Arabidopsis thaliana: one gene and its partners. Each later gene encodes a partner of the first gene's protein in a complex. Each region holds a gene or a part of one and is shown in the gene's direction. Other genes may lie near its edges.

The links. Proteins that work in one complex are often made in the same cells at the same time.
Region 2: SERAT2;1 (region 1) and OASA1 share a complex: the UniProt entries of both Arabidopsis thaliana proteins name them as parts of the cysteine synthase complex.
Region 3: SERAT2;1 (region 1) and OASC share a complex: the UniProt entries of both Arabidopsis thaliana proteins name them as parts of the cysteine synthase complex.

Annotation. Positions count from the first base shown.
Region 1 is NC_003070.9:20,910,109-20,914,214, forward strand, and holds SERAT2;1 (serine acetyltransferase 2;1), read left to right. Parts: upstream 1-2,007; 5' UTR 2,008-2,053; coding exon of another isoform or gene 2,054-2,062; 5' UTR 2,063-2,127; coding exon of another isoform or gene 2,128-2,169; 5' UTR 2,170-2,269; coding exon 2,270-3,214; 3' UTR 3,215-3,457; downstream 3,458-4,106. Other genes in the region: AT1G55917 (uncharacterized protein), read right to left, coding at 1,017-1,041, 1,628-1,674, 1,732-1,758, 1,881-1,905, 1,940-1,950, 2,054-2,062, 2,128-2,169. UniProt on the Arabidopsis thaliana protein: Serine acetyltransferase which catalyzes the formation of O-acetyl-L-serine from acetyl-CoA and L-serine. Also displays O-acetylserine (thio1)-lyase activity in vitro. May be involved in detoxification process by mediating the production of glutathione.
Region 2 is NC_003075.7:8,517,273-8,522,385, reverse strand, and holds OASA1 (O-acetylserine (thiol) lyase (OAS-TL)), read left to right. Parts: upstream 1-1,789; 5' UTR 1,790-2,054; exon of another isoform or gene 2,055-2,249; intron 2,250-2,319; exon of another isoform or gene 2,320-2,322; 5' UTR 2,323-2,335; coding exon 2,336-2,368; intron 2,369-2,455; coding exon 2,456-2,565; intron 2,566-2,652; coding exon 2,653-2,710; intron 2,711-2,790; coding exon 2,791-3,054; intron 3,055-3,145; coding exon 3,146-3,283; intron 3,284-3,380; coding exon 3,381-3,432; intron 3,433-3,561; coding exon 3,562-3,641; intron 3,642-3,748; coding exon 3,749-3,808; intron 3,809-3,895; coding exon 3,896-3,976; intron 3,977-4,084; coding exon 4,085-4,177; 3' UTR 4,178-4,426; downstream 4,427-5,113. Other genes in the region: AT4G14900 (FRIGIDA-like protein), read left to right, coding at 1-9, 112-627; FdC1 (2Fe-2S ferredoxin-like superfamily protein), read right to left, coding at 1,035-1,499; SECE1 (secE/sec61-gamma protein transport protein), read right to left, coding at 4,605-5,113. UniProt on the Arabidopsis thaliana protein: Acts as a major cysteine synthase, probably involved in maintaining organic sulfur level.
Region 3 is NC_003074.8:22,071,261-22,077,015, reverse strand, and holds OASC (O-acetylserine (thiol) lyase), read left to right. Parts: upstream 1-1,599; 5' UTR 1,600-1,670; coding exon 1,671-2,027; intron 2,028-2,187; coding exon 2,188-2,297; intron 2,298-2,383; coding exon 2,384-2,441; intron 2,442-2,571; coding exon 2,572-2,835; intron 2,836-3,097; coding exon 3,098-3,235; intron 3,236-3,362; coding exon 3,363-3,414; intron 3,415-3,513; coding exon 3,514-3,593; intron 3,594-3,744; coding exon 3,745-3,804; intron 3,805-3,925; coding exon 3,926-4,006; coding exon of another isoform or gene 4,007-4,019; intron 4,020-4,255; coding exon 4,256-4,342; coding exon of another isoform or gene 4,343-4,355; exon of another isoform or gene 4,356-4,752; intron 4,753-4,882; coding exon 4,883-4,897; 3' UTR 4,898-5,068; downstream 5,069-5,755. Other genes in the region: AT3G59750 (Concanavalin A-like lectin protein kinase family protein), read left to right, coding at 5,195-5,632, 5,719-5,755. UniProt on the Arabidopsis thaliana protein: Acts as a cysteine synthase. Plays a role in the sulfide detoxification in mitochondria.

The DNA of each region.
Region 1 (4,106 bases):
CTGCTCTTGTGAACAATCATTTACATACATTGTGTGTGTGTGTGTCTGCGCGTGTGAATTCAGGTACCTAGCTCTTTCTTAAATCAATTCAGACATGATTCGTGGCTGTTAAAACAAGCTACAATAACACAAATGAAGAATTGTTCAAATATCATGTGCGTTAATGTCCACGCTCCTGAAATAGATTACGTATGTTTCACTAGGACTTGTTAGAATTGTGAAACTTATAAAACTGTTCTTTTTGTTAGGCAATGGTGAGGCTATTTTACTTTCAGGTTTAAAAAACCTGTTGAAGCATTAGAGTGTTGATGAATATGAGTTTCCCTAAAGTAGATAGTATCTTCAGTCTGAAGTATATATGCATGTGTTGTTTCTGATCATAGTGTGCATCAAATGGGATGGTTCTGAAGATCTTTTGACAAACTCTTTGTCTATCAATTGATGTTTAAGGTTCAACAGCGATTCAGTTTCATAAAAGGTGATGTTTTTGCTTTTGCTTTTGTTAGCAGATGGTACCAAATCAAAAAGCTTAGGATCATATCGAGTGCCCCTTATCTGATAGAGGACTCAAGGAAGCAGATACTTAACCTCATTAAGCATCATGCTCAATCTTAGCTCCTTATTGTGCTACTAAAGTTCCAGTCTATTGGTATCCTCTTCCAATCTTATTATTTGTGTTGTTTTTTTGTGTGTCCTGACGTTTCACAGTGTCCATTCTTCATCATGTCATTCTCCATTCTTCAACACATCACAATTATATTTTAGCTAAATAGATAAAATTTATTCATATGATTTATTCTAAGAGATATTCGACATTTTTCAATATAAATTTTAGAAACCAAAAAATTGTGTAACTCGAAAGGGAAAGTTCATATATTCTTTGTGAACCAAATCGAATTCTCTAACTGAATAGTATTTTGTGTTTTCATGATTTTGAAGAGCCAAATCTACTTGACTACTGGTTGAAAATTGAAAGAAACCCTAATAAGGGACAATGATAACGAAAGATTGGGTCCTCAAACAATGGACACCACTATTCTACTGCCATTTAAAAAAAAAAGTTTAATATTTTTGAATTTTATTGTTGTTGTTTTCTCATTTCAAAACATCCAAAATTCCAACTAAGATAAGATAACTTATTTGCAGTAAGAAAAACGGATAATTTTATTTATTTGAATCCATCCATCAACATAAAGGTGTGCACAAAGGACAATATTAGGCAAATGACAATGTCACGTAATCTACGTTGCCCAATTGAATAATTTGATTATCATAAAAGTTACACAAGTTTCATTATTGAGTATTGAGTACTGAATAGAGATATCTTCAACCATAATGTAGCTTTCACAATTTCCATACGCGAAAAAAAGATATACACAAATGGAGTGTGTAGAGTAAACTAAACTCACTCTATTATGACTAACAGTCAATAACACGTACGTAGTTATCAAATTATTAATGAGTAAAAAAGTTCCAAGTTAAATTATGTATAAATTAATCATGTATTAGCATTAGATTATTAAAGTGTGAAAAAATGATTAGATTCAGACAACCTTGAAAATAAGGAGTTAAAGTCAAAGGGCGACTGCTTCACGTAACTTTAGACTTACGTCATTACTAACGTCACCTTTCTTTGAAAACCTCCTCCTTTTGAAAACCTCCTCCTTTTGGCAACTTTAATAATAGATCCAATTTTCTTGGTTTTTCCCCCCATTATTTGGAAATTATAACCATTTTACTACAAGTGCCTTCTAAATTCTACAACCCAACAAAAAAAAAAAAATTATATTACATATCATACAAAATAGCTAGATAATAAGTAGTTGATGTTATTGTTATGAAAAAGTTGGTGGCACTAAAAACATGTGATGGCTAATGACCCTTAGATATGTGTAGATAAGCAGACTAATCATGCAAAAATAAATACAAAATTGTAAACATCGTAATTGTCTGGACAATAAATCATAAAATTAAAAACATAAAACCATTTCCAAAATAAAATTGTGTATGGAAAAAAATATATATTAATCTCACTTACTATATAATTCATTACCTCCTTAATCTGCAGAAAAATGTGTATAATTAAAGAATAAAATATTTAGAGAGCGCTAATTAAACTGTAATTACTTTTTGAGATTTTTTTGGGTCAGAGTCAAAGGTCGCCGCCATCTCTCTCTGTGTATATAAGCTATGTTCATCTTCTTCACTCAACAACCATTCTCTCTTCTCTTCTTTATCTCAAACTCTTTCTTCTTCCAAATCATAAACCATGGCAACATGCATAGACACATGCCGAACCGGTAATACCCAAGACGATGATTCCCGGTTCTGTTGCATCAAGAATTTCTTTCGACCCGGTTTCTCTGTAAACCGGAAGATTCACCACACCCAAATCGAAGATGACGATGATGTCTGGATCAAGATGCTTGAAGAAGCCAAATCCGATGTTAAACAAGAACCCATTTTATCAAACTACTACTACGCTTCGATCACATCTCATCGATCTTTAGAGTCTGCTTTAGCTCACATCCTCTCCGTAAAGCTCAGCAATTTAAACCTACCAAGCAACACACTCTTCGAACTGTTCATAAGCGTTTTAGAAGAAAGCCCTGAGATCATCGAATCCACGAAGCAAGATCTTATAGCAGTCAAAGAAAGAGACCCAGCTTGTATAAGCTACGTTCATTGCTTCTTGGGCTTCAAAGGCTTCCTCGCTTGTCAAGCTCATCGAATAGCTCATACCCTCTGGAAACAGAACAGAAAAATCGTAGCTTTATTGATCCAAAACAGAGTATCAGAATCTTTCGCCGTCGATATTCATCCCGGAGCGAAGATCGGAAAAGGGATTCTTTTAGACCATGCGACGGGCGTGGTGATCGGAGAGACGGCGGTGGTTGGAGACAATGTTTCGATTCTACACGGAGTGACCTTGGGAGGAACAGGGAAACAGAGTGGTGATCGGCATCCGAAGATTGGTGATGGTGTGTTGATTGGAGCTGGGAGTTGTATATTGGGGAATATAACAATCGGTGAGGGAGCTAAGATTGGATCAGGGTCGGTGGTGGTTAAGGATGTGCCGGCGCGTACGACGGCGGTTGGAAATCCGGCGAGGTTGATTGGTGGGAAAGAGAATCCGAGAAAACATGATAAGATTCCTTGTCTGACTATGGACCAGACATCGTATTTAACCGAGTGGTCTGATTATGTGATTTAACACAAATGTGTATTTCTTTCTTTCTTGTAACTGATGATGATGAAACAAGTCTTGTCTATTTCTTAATATTTTACTATGTACTAATCAAACAAGTCTTGAAATCAAGCTCATCGATCTTTAAGAAGAAACTAGAGATTAGTTTATCTCGAGGCGAATCAAGAATGTGTACACTTTTATGGATTAATATATTTGTTAATAACATGGATTGTGAATTGGGCCTTAAAGTGGACTGTTAAATGGGCCATGTATAACCAACTCACGCCAACAATAGTTTTCTAATGGTTACTTTCGTCGCCGGAGTCGTGGAAGGTGGAGAAATGGGAAAATCTCACAGAAGAAGTAATTATGAGTCATCGTAAACTAGAAAGAAGACTAAAGGACGAGGCAGAACAAAGCATCATTACTATAGTATTGATGACGTTCTGGTTTCGTAATTAAAGTGTTTTCATTTCCCAATGCAAATGACTTTTGATATTTCTTCTCTAATAAAGAAAGTCGCTTATAAAACTCAAACATAGAGAGAAGTTTTCATTTGTTCTAAACTTATTCAAAACCCTAGTTTTTTCTTACAATCAACCATCGCTAAATCAGAAGAAACATTAGTTTCACAGGAAAAAAAAAAACTAAAAAAAAGAAACAGAGATTATAAAGAGTCCATTGGAATATAGAGAACCGAAAATCGACCGAGATCACAAAGCCAAGATATGGCAAAAAGATATGATTCTAGAAGAATTTGGAAGAATATTAATAAATGTTAATATTAGAGTTTAGGAAGTTTAATATTATCTCTAAAAATATTATTTACATATATGTTTATTTTAGTTTAGGAAACTTAGATCTCTTCCTTCTCTATATAAAGATCATCTCCAATGTATAGCTCTATATCCACCTC
Region 2 (5,113 bases), on another chromosome or scaffold:
CGATCTGCGGTACTTTCCTCCATTTGTGTTACTCGTTTTCTTTGCTGGATCCATTTGCAGGGATCTGTTTCTTCTGCACTCGCTTACCAATGTATGTGTGTATTTTTCTAGCATCTTGTGGCGCGCAAAGAGCAATCAGCACTTAGAGCAGTCTTAAAATGCATAGAAGAATACAAACTCGAGGAAGAATTCCCACCCGAGAATCTCAAGAAGAGGTTGGATCAGCTAGAGAAGACCAAAACCGAGAAGAGAAAACCAGCCGTGATTCCCGCCAACAAGAGAACCCGAGCAAGCTACAGCGGTCCAATGCCACCAGCCAAAGCAGGGCGTATCACAAACGCTTACGTCTCCTCTTTCCCACCGCCTCCACCAACATTCATCAGATCCCAAAGTCACTCACCTCAATACGGTGTACCAGCATACACCACATCCCCACCTACCATCTACAGCAACAGGAGCCCTCCATACCAATACTCACCCGAGGCGGTTCATGGTTCTTACCAAACCTCTCCGGTCAGTTATCCGACAGCATATGGTACCTACTGCAGTCCGGTGGCTGCTCCACCCCCTCCAGTTTACCATCCTCACCCGCACCACCACCACCATATTCAGCATGCTTACTACTGATTAGACAATGACAAAGGAAAAAAGAAGATGGTAAGTAACCAACCACTGATCTCTGGTGTCTACGTTTTGTCTCTACCTCGTTTTTGTTGTAATCTCTCTTTTTTTATATCGTATCATTTGTAGCTAACACTCTCACTCTTTCTGGTTCTGAATTAGTCTACCCTTGTGTGTTTATTAATCTAAATTATACATATCTATTCACTTTCCTAATGTTTCAATCAACGAATTTAGTTCAGTACTTAATAGATTCATCTTAAACCAGGAATGTTTCACTGTGATTATGTTATGTATCACTGTTTGTATTGGCTCATTGAAATCAAGATTTCGAAGTCTCATAGCAAGATTCGTTACAAAGTGTTCGTATTACACCAAAAAAAAGACTTCTTTAGTCTAAATCAAGAAGATGATTAGTCGTTGGCAGTGGCGAGCTGGAGAGACAAGAGTTCTTCCTCAGGGATCATCTTAATGTGACAATCAGAAGTTGGATACGAAGCACATAGAAGCGTGTAGCCACGTTCAACCACATCATCACTTAGCATCCCACCACTTTGATCCACCGTTCCGGTCACGAGTTTCGCTGGACAAGTCATACAAACACCGAGATTGCAGTCGTAGGGAACGTCAAGGCCAGAGTCAAGAGCCTTAGATAGAATCGTCTCGTCTGGTTCGACTTCCAATTCAGTCGTCTTTCCGTCGTGCTCTACCACCACTTTATATGCCCGAGCTATGATCCTTCCGGTGGTGAGAAAGTTCCGGCGGTTTGTTGTTGTTGAGAGTGTTGCGTTACGGAGTGGGAAGGAGAAGGAATTGGAGAGATAAGGTTTAGGGAGAGAGATTGTAGAAGTTTGAGTCGGGAGAGGAAGAGTCGCCATGAGAGACAGAGAGACGGAGACAAAAGAGTTTTTGTGTCAAGTGAGAGTGATGACTGTTTGTGGTGAATACGGAGATAAGGTTGATCATCGGTTGTAGATAGTGGTGGGACATAAAAACCGAAAACCGACTTAAACCGAAATTCATTAATGCATTAAACCGAATTAACCAAGATCTAATAAAATGAATTTTAAAATTTTAATTATATTCGTAATTAAGGGAAATATTTTTTCCAAAACAGTTTGAACAAATAAATTCAGTATTATTTTTCCATACTCAAAACTCCAAATCGGACTAACTGAAAAAAAGAAACCGAATGTTCAAACCCCAGTTATGGAAAATATTAACCGGACTTAATACGGATATGACCAAATCAGACCGAGAAGTAGTAATTCTGGTGACCAACCACCGCGTTTTTCTAAATTGATAGCGTGTGCCATGTGACTGACACCAAAGAGATCATATATCTCATCATTCGAAGATTTTATTCCATACAACCGATTTTCTCCATTTTCTTCAAAACGATTCGGGTCAAGGTTATTGACTTTCTCATTCAGGTATCATCTTCTTCCTCGTCCCATACTTTTTGATTCACTTGCTTATTCCTCTGCCGGTTTCGATTATATTTGTTTGGATCGGATAATTGTATGGGCTTAAGCTTATTTCGCTGTTAAATCTGTTGATTTGGTGTTAAGAGTGTTGTATAACTGGATTGGTGCTCATACATCTGGAGATTTATGTTTGATGATTTTGTATGATGTGTTTTTGGTTTGAGGATGATTTATTCCTTTGGTCTTACTTTTCTCTTTTTGTGAATTTAAGCAGTGAAGCTTGAATCATGGCCTCGAGAATTGCTAAAGATGTGACTGAAGTAAGGCTTTCAAGTTCTTTCACTGTTCATTTCACGAAGGAGTGAGCTTTGTTCCATGTTCATGTATTGATTGATTCTATTTGGCAGTTGATTGGGAACACTCCATTGGTGTATTTGAACAATGTTGCTGAAGGATGTGTTGGTCGTGTTGCTGCTAAGCTTGAGATGATGGAACCGTGCTCTAGCGTCAAAGACAGGTTTCTTCTCTAGTCCAGAAACTATGTGTTGTTTCTCGCTTCGAGTTTCGGTTTTGTGAAGACCTTGTACTTTGTTTATTTCTGCAGGATTGGTTTTAGCATGATTTCTGATGCAGAAAAGAAGGGTCTTATCAAACCAGGAGAGGTCAGTTTCGATTATCTGAATCTTCAAACCACTATTTTGTTTTTGTTTTCATTGTTTCTGACTTTTTGTTTGTTCTTTAGAGTGTGCTGATTGAGCCAACAAGTGGAAACACTGGAGTTGGGTTAGCATTCACGGCAGCTGCCAAAGGCTACAAGCTTATTATTACAATGCCAGCTTCTATGAGTACTGAGAGAAGAATCATTCTCTTAGCTTTTGGAGTTGAGTTGGTTTTAACTGACCCAGCTAAGGGCATGAAAGGAGCTATCGCAAAGGCGGAAGAGATTTTGGCGAAAACACCCAATGGTTACATGCTTCAGCAGTTTGAGAACCCTGCCAACCCTAAGGTATGCTTATTATTTACTATTGCTTTAGTGTATCTGTTTTTGTCTGTTTTTGAACCATATTAAGTCGATGGAATTTCACTGTCAAATGCAGATCCACTATGAGACTACGGGACCTGAGATATGGAAAGGCACTGGTGGCAAAATCGATGGCTTTGTTTCTGGGATTGGTACTGGTGGTACCATTACAGGTGCTGGGAAGTATCTTAAAGAACAGAACGCAAACGTCAAGGTGAGAGCTCCATCTTTTCGAACAACTGGCTTTGTTATCTAAGTGACTAAGTGGTGTGTCTTTGCACGGTTTCTCATTTTGTTTCCTCTTCTGTTAGCTGTATGGAGTGGAGCCAGTTGAAAGTGCTATTCTATCCGGTGGGAAGCCAGGTGATTTTGGTTCCCCCTGCGTTTATTACGATAACCATGCATGCATGTTCCTCGTTTCTCGGTTTGCCTCATGTCTTATTTTTTATCCTCGGAGTTTCCTAACACATGATGTTTGCTGAAAATATCAAGGTCCTCACAAGATTCAAGGGATAGGAGCTGGTTTTATACCAAGTGTATTGAATGTTGATCTTATTGACGAAGTTGTTCAGGTAAGACTGCTTTTCGATATTATCGACTGATAGCAAAACACAATTGAATGCAAGAGAGCTTCATTTCTTACTTGACTCTCTCCATTTTCCTGTAACGCTTTCAACAGGTTTCAAGTGATGAATCCATTGACATGGCAAGGCAGCTTGCTCTTAAAGAAGGTCTTCTTGTAAGTGTTTCACATTTCACAACAAAAAGCTATCTCCATCAGAATTACAACTTCGTTCTGTTTCTAAAAACAAAAGCTATACTGTAGGTGGGAATATCATCCGGTGCAGCAGCTGCTGCAGCAATTAAACTTGCACAGAGGCCAGAAAACGCTGGGAAGCTATTTGTGGTAAGCTCTTTGATTCTATCATCACCCCAAAGCCAATAAGCTCTGATTACATAACCCGGATTTCTTTCTGATTCTGATGTAAACGAAATCAACTGAATTATTTTACAGGCGATATTCCCGAGTTTCGGGGAGAGGTATCTATCAACGGTACTTTTCGATGCGACAAGGAAAGAAGCGGAAGCCATGACCTTCGAGGCTTGAACATTCTCCATTTCTTCTTAAGAGACGCCAAAATAAAAGAGATGTTCAGTTTCTCCTATAGAGACTCTTCATCTTTAGTTACATTGCGTCTTTGCTTCCATCTGTATCTTCTCTTGTGTGCCAATAAAAGTCAAACTAGATTTTCTCTGTTTCTTTTGTGAACCACTTGCTTGTTAATGAAGTTTAAATTTGCTATGTAACTTTGTTCATAAGTATCATACTGTTTCATGATCAAAACTAAACCAACATAACCCAAGTCAATATTTCAGGCTAAATATAAGATTAGGATAAGAAGAAGGTAATGCTCAAAAGGAGTGATTCCGATAATTCTCTTTATCATCATCTACACAAATCAACAATGTTTCGATTTCTCATTGCAATCACTAAAAATTGTACACACAAATTTTACCATTTTCAATTCACAGGATCAGCTGAAGAAGTCTTGAACACCTCTTCCGATGAACACTCGATCAGAGAGTTCAGCCAAAAGGAAATTGACAGTGAGCAAGACGACGCTAGAGCCAGCGATAACACCGAGCACGACGCCGGTAGTTCCGAGAACTTTCTGAAACGCCGGCCACTCAATCTCCTTCACTTCCTCCGCAACTCCACTAAGAAACTCGTTCTTCCCTTTCTCTTCCTCCGCCGTTTTCCTCTGCTCCATCGCTGCTTTTATCTCTGCTCCTATCGCGCTAATCTCCACTTCCTTATCTTCTCCGCTTCCACTCTCTTCCGCCGGTGACGGAGTCGCTTCTGATTCCGATTCAGATCCAGCTGTATCTCGTCTCTGTTCTATAGCCTTAGCCACAAAACACGCCGATTTCCTCAGATTACTCGTCGTCATAGTTCTTATCTCAGTGTAAACCGGAAATACACGGAGATTAGACAGTGACGGTTTTGTATCCCGGAGACTCCTGGTTATTCCGGTGACCGGCG
Region 3 (5,755 bases), on another chromosome or scaffold:
TTCGTCAAATCATATTGAATAGTCGAAAAATAAACGAAATGCGTTCTCGGGTAATAAGTATTCTAGAGCAAAAATGTGATTAAAAACAATATGAGTAAAATGCATTCATGAATTATGAAGTTGCAAATTTCAACCAGCTGATGCCGACGTGTTGGATTTCAGGAAGTTGTTGGATATCAAAGACCCTTGGAGATCTTAGGGTTTAGGCTTCTAGAGGCTTTAAGCATTGTACAATTTGTAAACTTCAAAGCATTAGTCGGGGTTGTTCTTAGTCGAGTTGAATAATTAGGCTTAATTATTCTTAATTGTTCTTAGTGTTAGTTCTTTTTGTCTTCACGGGCGGCTGATAAGAAATAGAGGACAATTAGGCTTAATTATTCATTCAGGTAGAAAATGTCGGGGTTGTTCATTCAGGGGTTGTTCATTAAACTTAATTCTCCTTAGTCGGGGTTGTTCATTCAGGTAGAATATGTCAAGTAAGTTCCGAGATAATACTTGTTAAAGAGTTTATTATCAATAAAAATAAAGTTTAAGCACTTGTTGTTTGCAAGTGAATTCTCTGTGTTGTTTTTGTCTCTATACCTTTTAAATTATATTTTTATTGAATATATAGAGTAAATGTAAAATGGTAAGACTTTTGGTATATAGTTTTTTAAGTGAATTTGACGCATAAATTTCATGAAACTCTTACATAATATATATATCAAAATTGTATAACAAAATTTTTGTATTTTACAGACATTACTTAAAATTGCATAACTACAAACGAAAAACAACCAATTTTCTCAGACTTTTACAGTTTGTACTTCGAATGGTTAAGAAATCAGATTCTATTGATGTGGTTACTCGTTACCCAATAAAATAGTAATTGATCATAATTTAATGTTCTATTGATGTAGAAGTCTTAGAAGATACTTACTAATGGACGAAAATATCGAGAAAGAAAAAAAAAAAGGTACAACAACGGCATATTTCCGTGAGAATAATGCGCGTGGAACGATTAATGTGGCTATTCATTGCTTAACGGCCTTTTTAGTGTCGGCTCTAAGGCCCATTTTTGTCTTTGTGCAAATTTAACGGTGAATGTGTTTGTTCAGGTGTTTTACATTTTTTTTTTTTGAGTGTTGGAACGCTTTTGTTAGAGTTTATGTAGCTCGGATTAAGACAACCCTAATTGGCTAATTGCTACCGCCTACCATTGTTTGACTCAGTTATACGGGCTTAAGATGAGCTGATTCCTTATCGAACAAACCAAAACCAAATAATGTCAAATTTAAGAAGAAGAATCTTTTCAAGTTACATTTTCTCAGAAGCTTTTGGTTCCTTTGTTACTGACTATTTCCTTGTTGACCAAACCAAAACCAAACAATGTCAAATTCAAGAACAAGAATATCTAACGGCAACGGATCCAAGACGATGAATTTGACATTAAAAAAAAAAAAGTTAACCAGAAAGATTCATGCAACACTTGAGAGGTATGAAGGTACGAATAAGAACACATTCTCCACGTTCGCTTTTGGTCAGTGCACTTCACTTGGTTGGTGATTAAAAAAAAAATGTATAAAATATAAAAATGAAACTTAATATAAAGTTGAAAGCTTGGTCTAAAAATGGACCGTATCTGAAAATCCAATCGACGTCGTATTCCAAGAAAATAGAAAAGTAGGATCATGGTGGCGATGATCATGGCTTCAAGGTTTAACCGGGAAGCTAAGCTCGCATCTCAAATCTTGTCTACACTTTTGGGAAACCGAAGCTGCTACACATCCATGGCCGCCACATCTTCCTCTGCTTTACTTCTTAATCCGTTGACTTCTTCTTCTTCTTCTTCTACTCTCCGTCGTTTCAGATGCTCGCCAGAGATCTCTTCTCTCTCCTTCTCCTCCGCTTCTGATTTCTCTCTAGCGATGAAGAGGCAGAGTCGGAGTTTTGCTGATGGTTCGGAACGAGATCCGTCTGTTGTGTGTGAGGCTGTTAAGCGCGAGACTGGACCTGATGGACTCAACATCGCTGACAATGTGTCTCAGGTTAGATTTGAAATTGAAATTGGTGATCAAATTTTTGAGCTTTCCTCTAATGGGAATGTTGGCGAAAGTGTGATTGTCCATTAAAATTTGAAACTTGATTAGCTTTTTAAATAGTTCAGAATTTACTTACGTATCTCTCATTGTTCTTGGCTTGATTCAGCTCATTGGGAAAACTCCTATGGTGTACTTGAACAGTATAGCAAAAGGTTGTGTAGCAAATATTGCTGCCAAACTCGAGATCATGGAGCCATGTTGCAGTGTCAAGGATAGGTCTGTAGCTTAAGTCTTTTGTGGCTTGTTTGTATGTTTTTAGTTGAGTCCCTTCAAGTCCTAACTTTTATGTTTCACGGATTCAGGATTGGGTACAGTATGGTTACTGATGCTGAGCAAAAAGGATTTATATCACCTGGAAAGGTATCGATTATAGATTGATCAGTCTTTTGTAAAGTTTAATGGATGAGACCAGCTTTTACACACATAAAGTTGTACAATCTATAGTCTGTTATTTCTGGTGGTTAATCATGTCCTTACTGCATTGATCTAGAGTGTTCTTGTGGAACCTACAAGTGGAAACACGGGTATTGGCCTAGCATTCATCGCTGCTTCAAGGGGCTATAGACTTATCTTGACAATGCCAGCATCCATGAGTATGGAAAGAAGGGTTCTTTTAAAGGCATTTGGAGCTGAGCTTGTATTAACAGATCCTGCTAAAGGCATGACTGGAGCGGTTCAGAAGGCTGAAGAGATCTTGAAAAACACTCCTGATGCATACATGCTCCAACAGTTTGACAACCCTGCAAATCCAAAGGTTTGTGGTTTATATTTTTCCTTATTTGTGTCATGATTTGGTTTTTGCTCTAGTCATGTACCATAAGAAGAGAAATGAAATGTTAAGTTAGAGTTAACCAGAAACTCATCTGTATTTAGAGAATGCCCACAAGTGTGTAACTGAAGTGGTTTTCACTTAAACTGTACAAGCAAATTGGGAAGTGGCTGATCCTTTGAAATCGGCATGATCTTCTGTGAGGTTCTCTTGTCACGTTTGTAAACTCAAGTTTGAATATACGCAGATTCATTACGAGACTACTGGTCCTGAGATCTGGGATGATACAAAGGGCAAGGTGGATATCTTTGTTGCAGGAATTGGAACTGGTGGAACTATCACTGGTGTTGGTCGATTTATTAAAGAGAAAAATCCCAAAACGCAGGTAGATGCAAAAGTTCAATGGTTTCATTCTTAGCTGGAGTACATTTTCAGGTGTTATTTAGACAGTATTGTATGTTCATTCAAGCAATATAATTCGTAGTTAACTATTCGATGTTTACATGTACCAGGTTATTGGTGTAGAACCCACCGAAAGCGATATACTTTCTGGTGGCAAACCGGGTAAGGCTTGCCAATAGATATCAATCAGTAATTTTGTTTCCATGATTTCGAAATATGATCTTATATTCACGTATTTTGCTTTCTCTTGCATTTATACAGGACCTCACAAGATTCAAGGAATTGGAGCTGGATTTATACCTAAGAATTTGGATCAGAAAATTATGGATGAAGTCATAGCGGTATGATTTATTTTGTTGGATTCTGTATGGTTATACAATTTATCTGGTTTCCACAAAACATCCACAATTCTTGTGTCAATTTATTGCTTAAATTTTCCAATTCCTGAGACTCAAACTTCATCAATTACTATCTTCTTTTTGCGTTTACCAGATTTCAAGTGAGGAAGCTATAGAAACCGCAAAGCAACTAGCTCTTAAGGAAGGCTTGATGGTTAGTTCTTTGCAGTATTTATGATTTCTGAGTGGGAACCACACGGATGTTGTGGTGTCATGTTGCATGTGAAAGGTGGAAATTACACAAGATTCTTACGTGAATGTAATAATCTTGTCAGGTTGGTATATCATCTGGAGCTGCAGCTGCTGCTGCAATCAAGGTGGCTAAGAGACCTGAGAATGCTGGAAAACTCATAGCTGTAAGTCTTTTCGGTTTCAGTTATGTGTTATGTCTTGAAAACAAAAAGGTGGTGCAAGGGGTCTTTGTGCAACATATAGATGGATTGCTTTAGATTTCATCTTAAGATAGATTTGAGGATTATTAAAGTCTCCCGAGTCTGTGATCCAATACTAAACCAAAGAATCAACAATATAGTCACTTGGCTAGTTAGATTGTTAAATCTTCTAAGTAGGTAACTGTTAATGAATCTATGAATGCGGTTTTTCAGGTTGTTTTCCCGAGCTTCGGGGAGAGATATCTATCGACCCCGCTGTTCCAGTCTATCCGGGAAGAGGTGGAGAAAATGCAGCCTGAGGTATGAACATTAGCAACTTGGTCTACTTCTGCAAAGCTCTTTCTCCCATAATTACAGTCTGAGTGCTAAGCAATTTATTTTTATCAATAAGGCATTAGTGAATGTGGTTTGAGTTCTATTTTGGATATCCAACACTAGTCTATGTTTTACTCAACATTTTCTGTTGGAAATCCCAATGCTTAATTATATTGAATTGAACAAGATGATTGATCCCTTGTTTGTTTTTCTTGTTAACCTAAAAAATATTAACTTTCATGAGTATTTTCATATATAATGATCAACGATGATAGGTTAGTGATATAACTTTACTTTTTCATGTAGACCAATAGAAAAAAATAAAATCAGAATCTAACTCTAAAACATGTCAAAAACTTATTTTTAATACAAATTTTGTGGTCAAAACTTTGGATGTGAAACTTACTTTGTTCGATTATTGCTTTTAAAGTACTTTTTGATGTTTTCCAGTTTTCACACAGTTTTAAGATCATAGAAAAATCCCGTCTTTTTGAAATTTTGATCCATATATTTTCTAATGCTCAGAGAGTCAGCGGTTAATATTAGGATTAGGACACGCTCTACCAATCCCACGATAATTGCTTTGAATCCAATGAAGATTGGAAGATTATTATCTTAATTGCTTTACGACTTGGTTTAGGCCCCATGTGTGTGTAAATACATAAATTTTTAATATGAACAACGCGGAAATCCATGTGAACGTTCGTTTCCATTTTGTTCGACCCTACTTTTGCAGTTTGGAATTCTTTTATACTCTTACTTAACTCTCAATGAGATGATAAAAATATCTCATATGATCAATTTCTTCCCATAAGCAAAAACAAAAAAAATCCTAACATGCCTAGTGAACTCAAAGTCTTGCATATAGTTCTTGTTCTGCTCTATACTCTGTCTTCATCTACTTACAACTCCAATGGAAACTGGACCCTGGAGGGCTCTGCAGCTGACAACTCCATTGGTGACACCATTTTAACGAACACCAAGAAGCATTCCTGCGGTCAAACTTTCAACAACGAATCCATTCCCATAAAAGATTCGTCTTTCAGCTTCCACTTCCTCTTTGGAATAGTACCTGAGCATACACAGTCCGGTTCACATGGCATGTCTTTCGTTATCTCTCCTACAGCAGGCCTTCCAGGAGCTTCCTCCGATCAGTACCTCGGATTATTCAATGAAACAACCAACGGTAAATCATCAAACCACGTTATAGCTATCGAGTTAGATATACAAAAAGACCAAGAGTTCGGAGATATTGATGATAATCATGTTGCAATGGTTTGACATCTGTTGTTTCTGCTTCTGCTGGTTACTATGATGATAAAGATGGAATCTTCAGAAATCTTTCTTTGATCAGCGGAAAGGTAATGCGGCTTTCTATCGTTTATAGTCATCCTGATC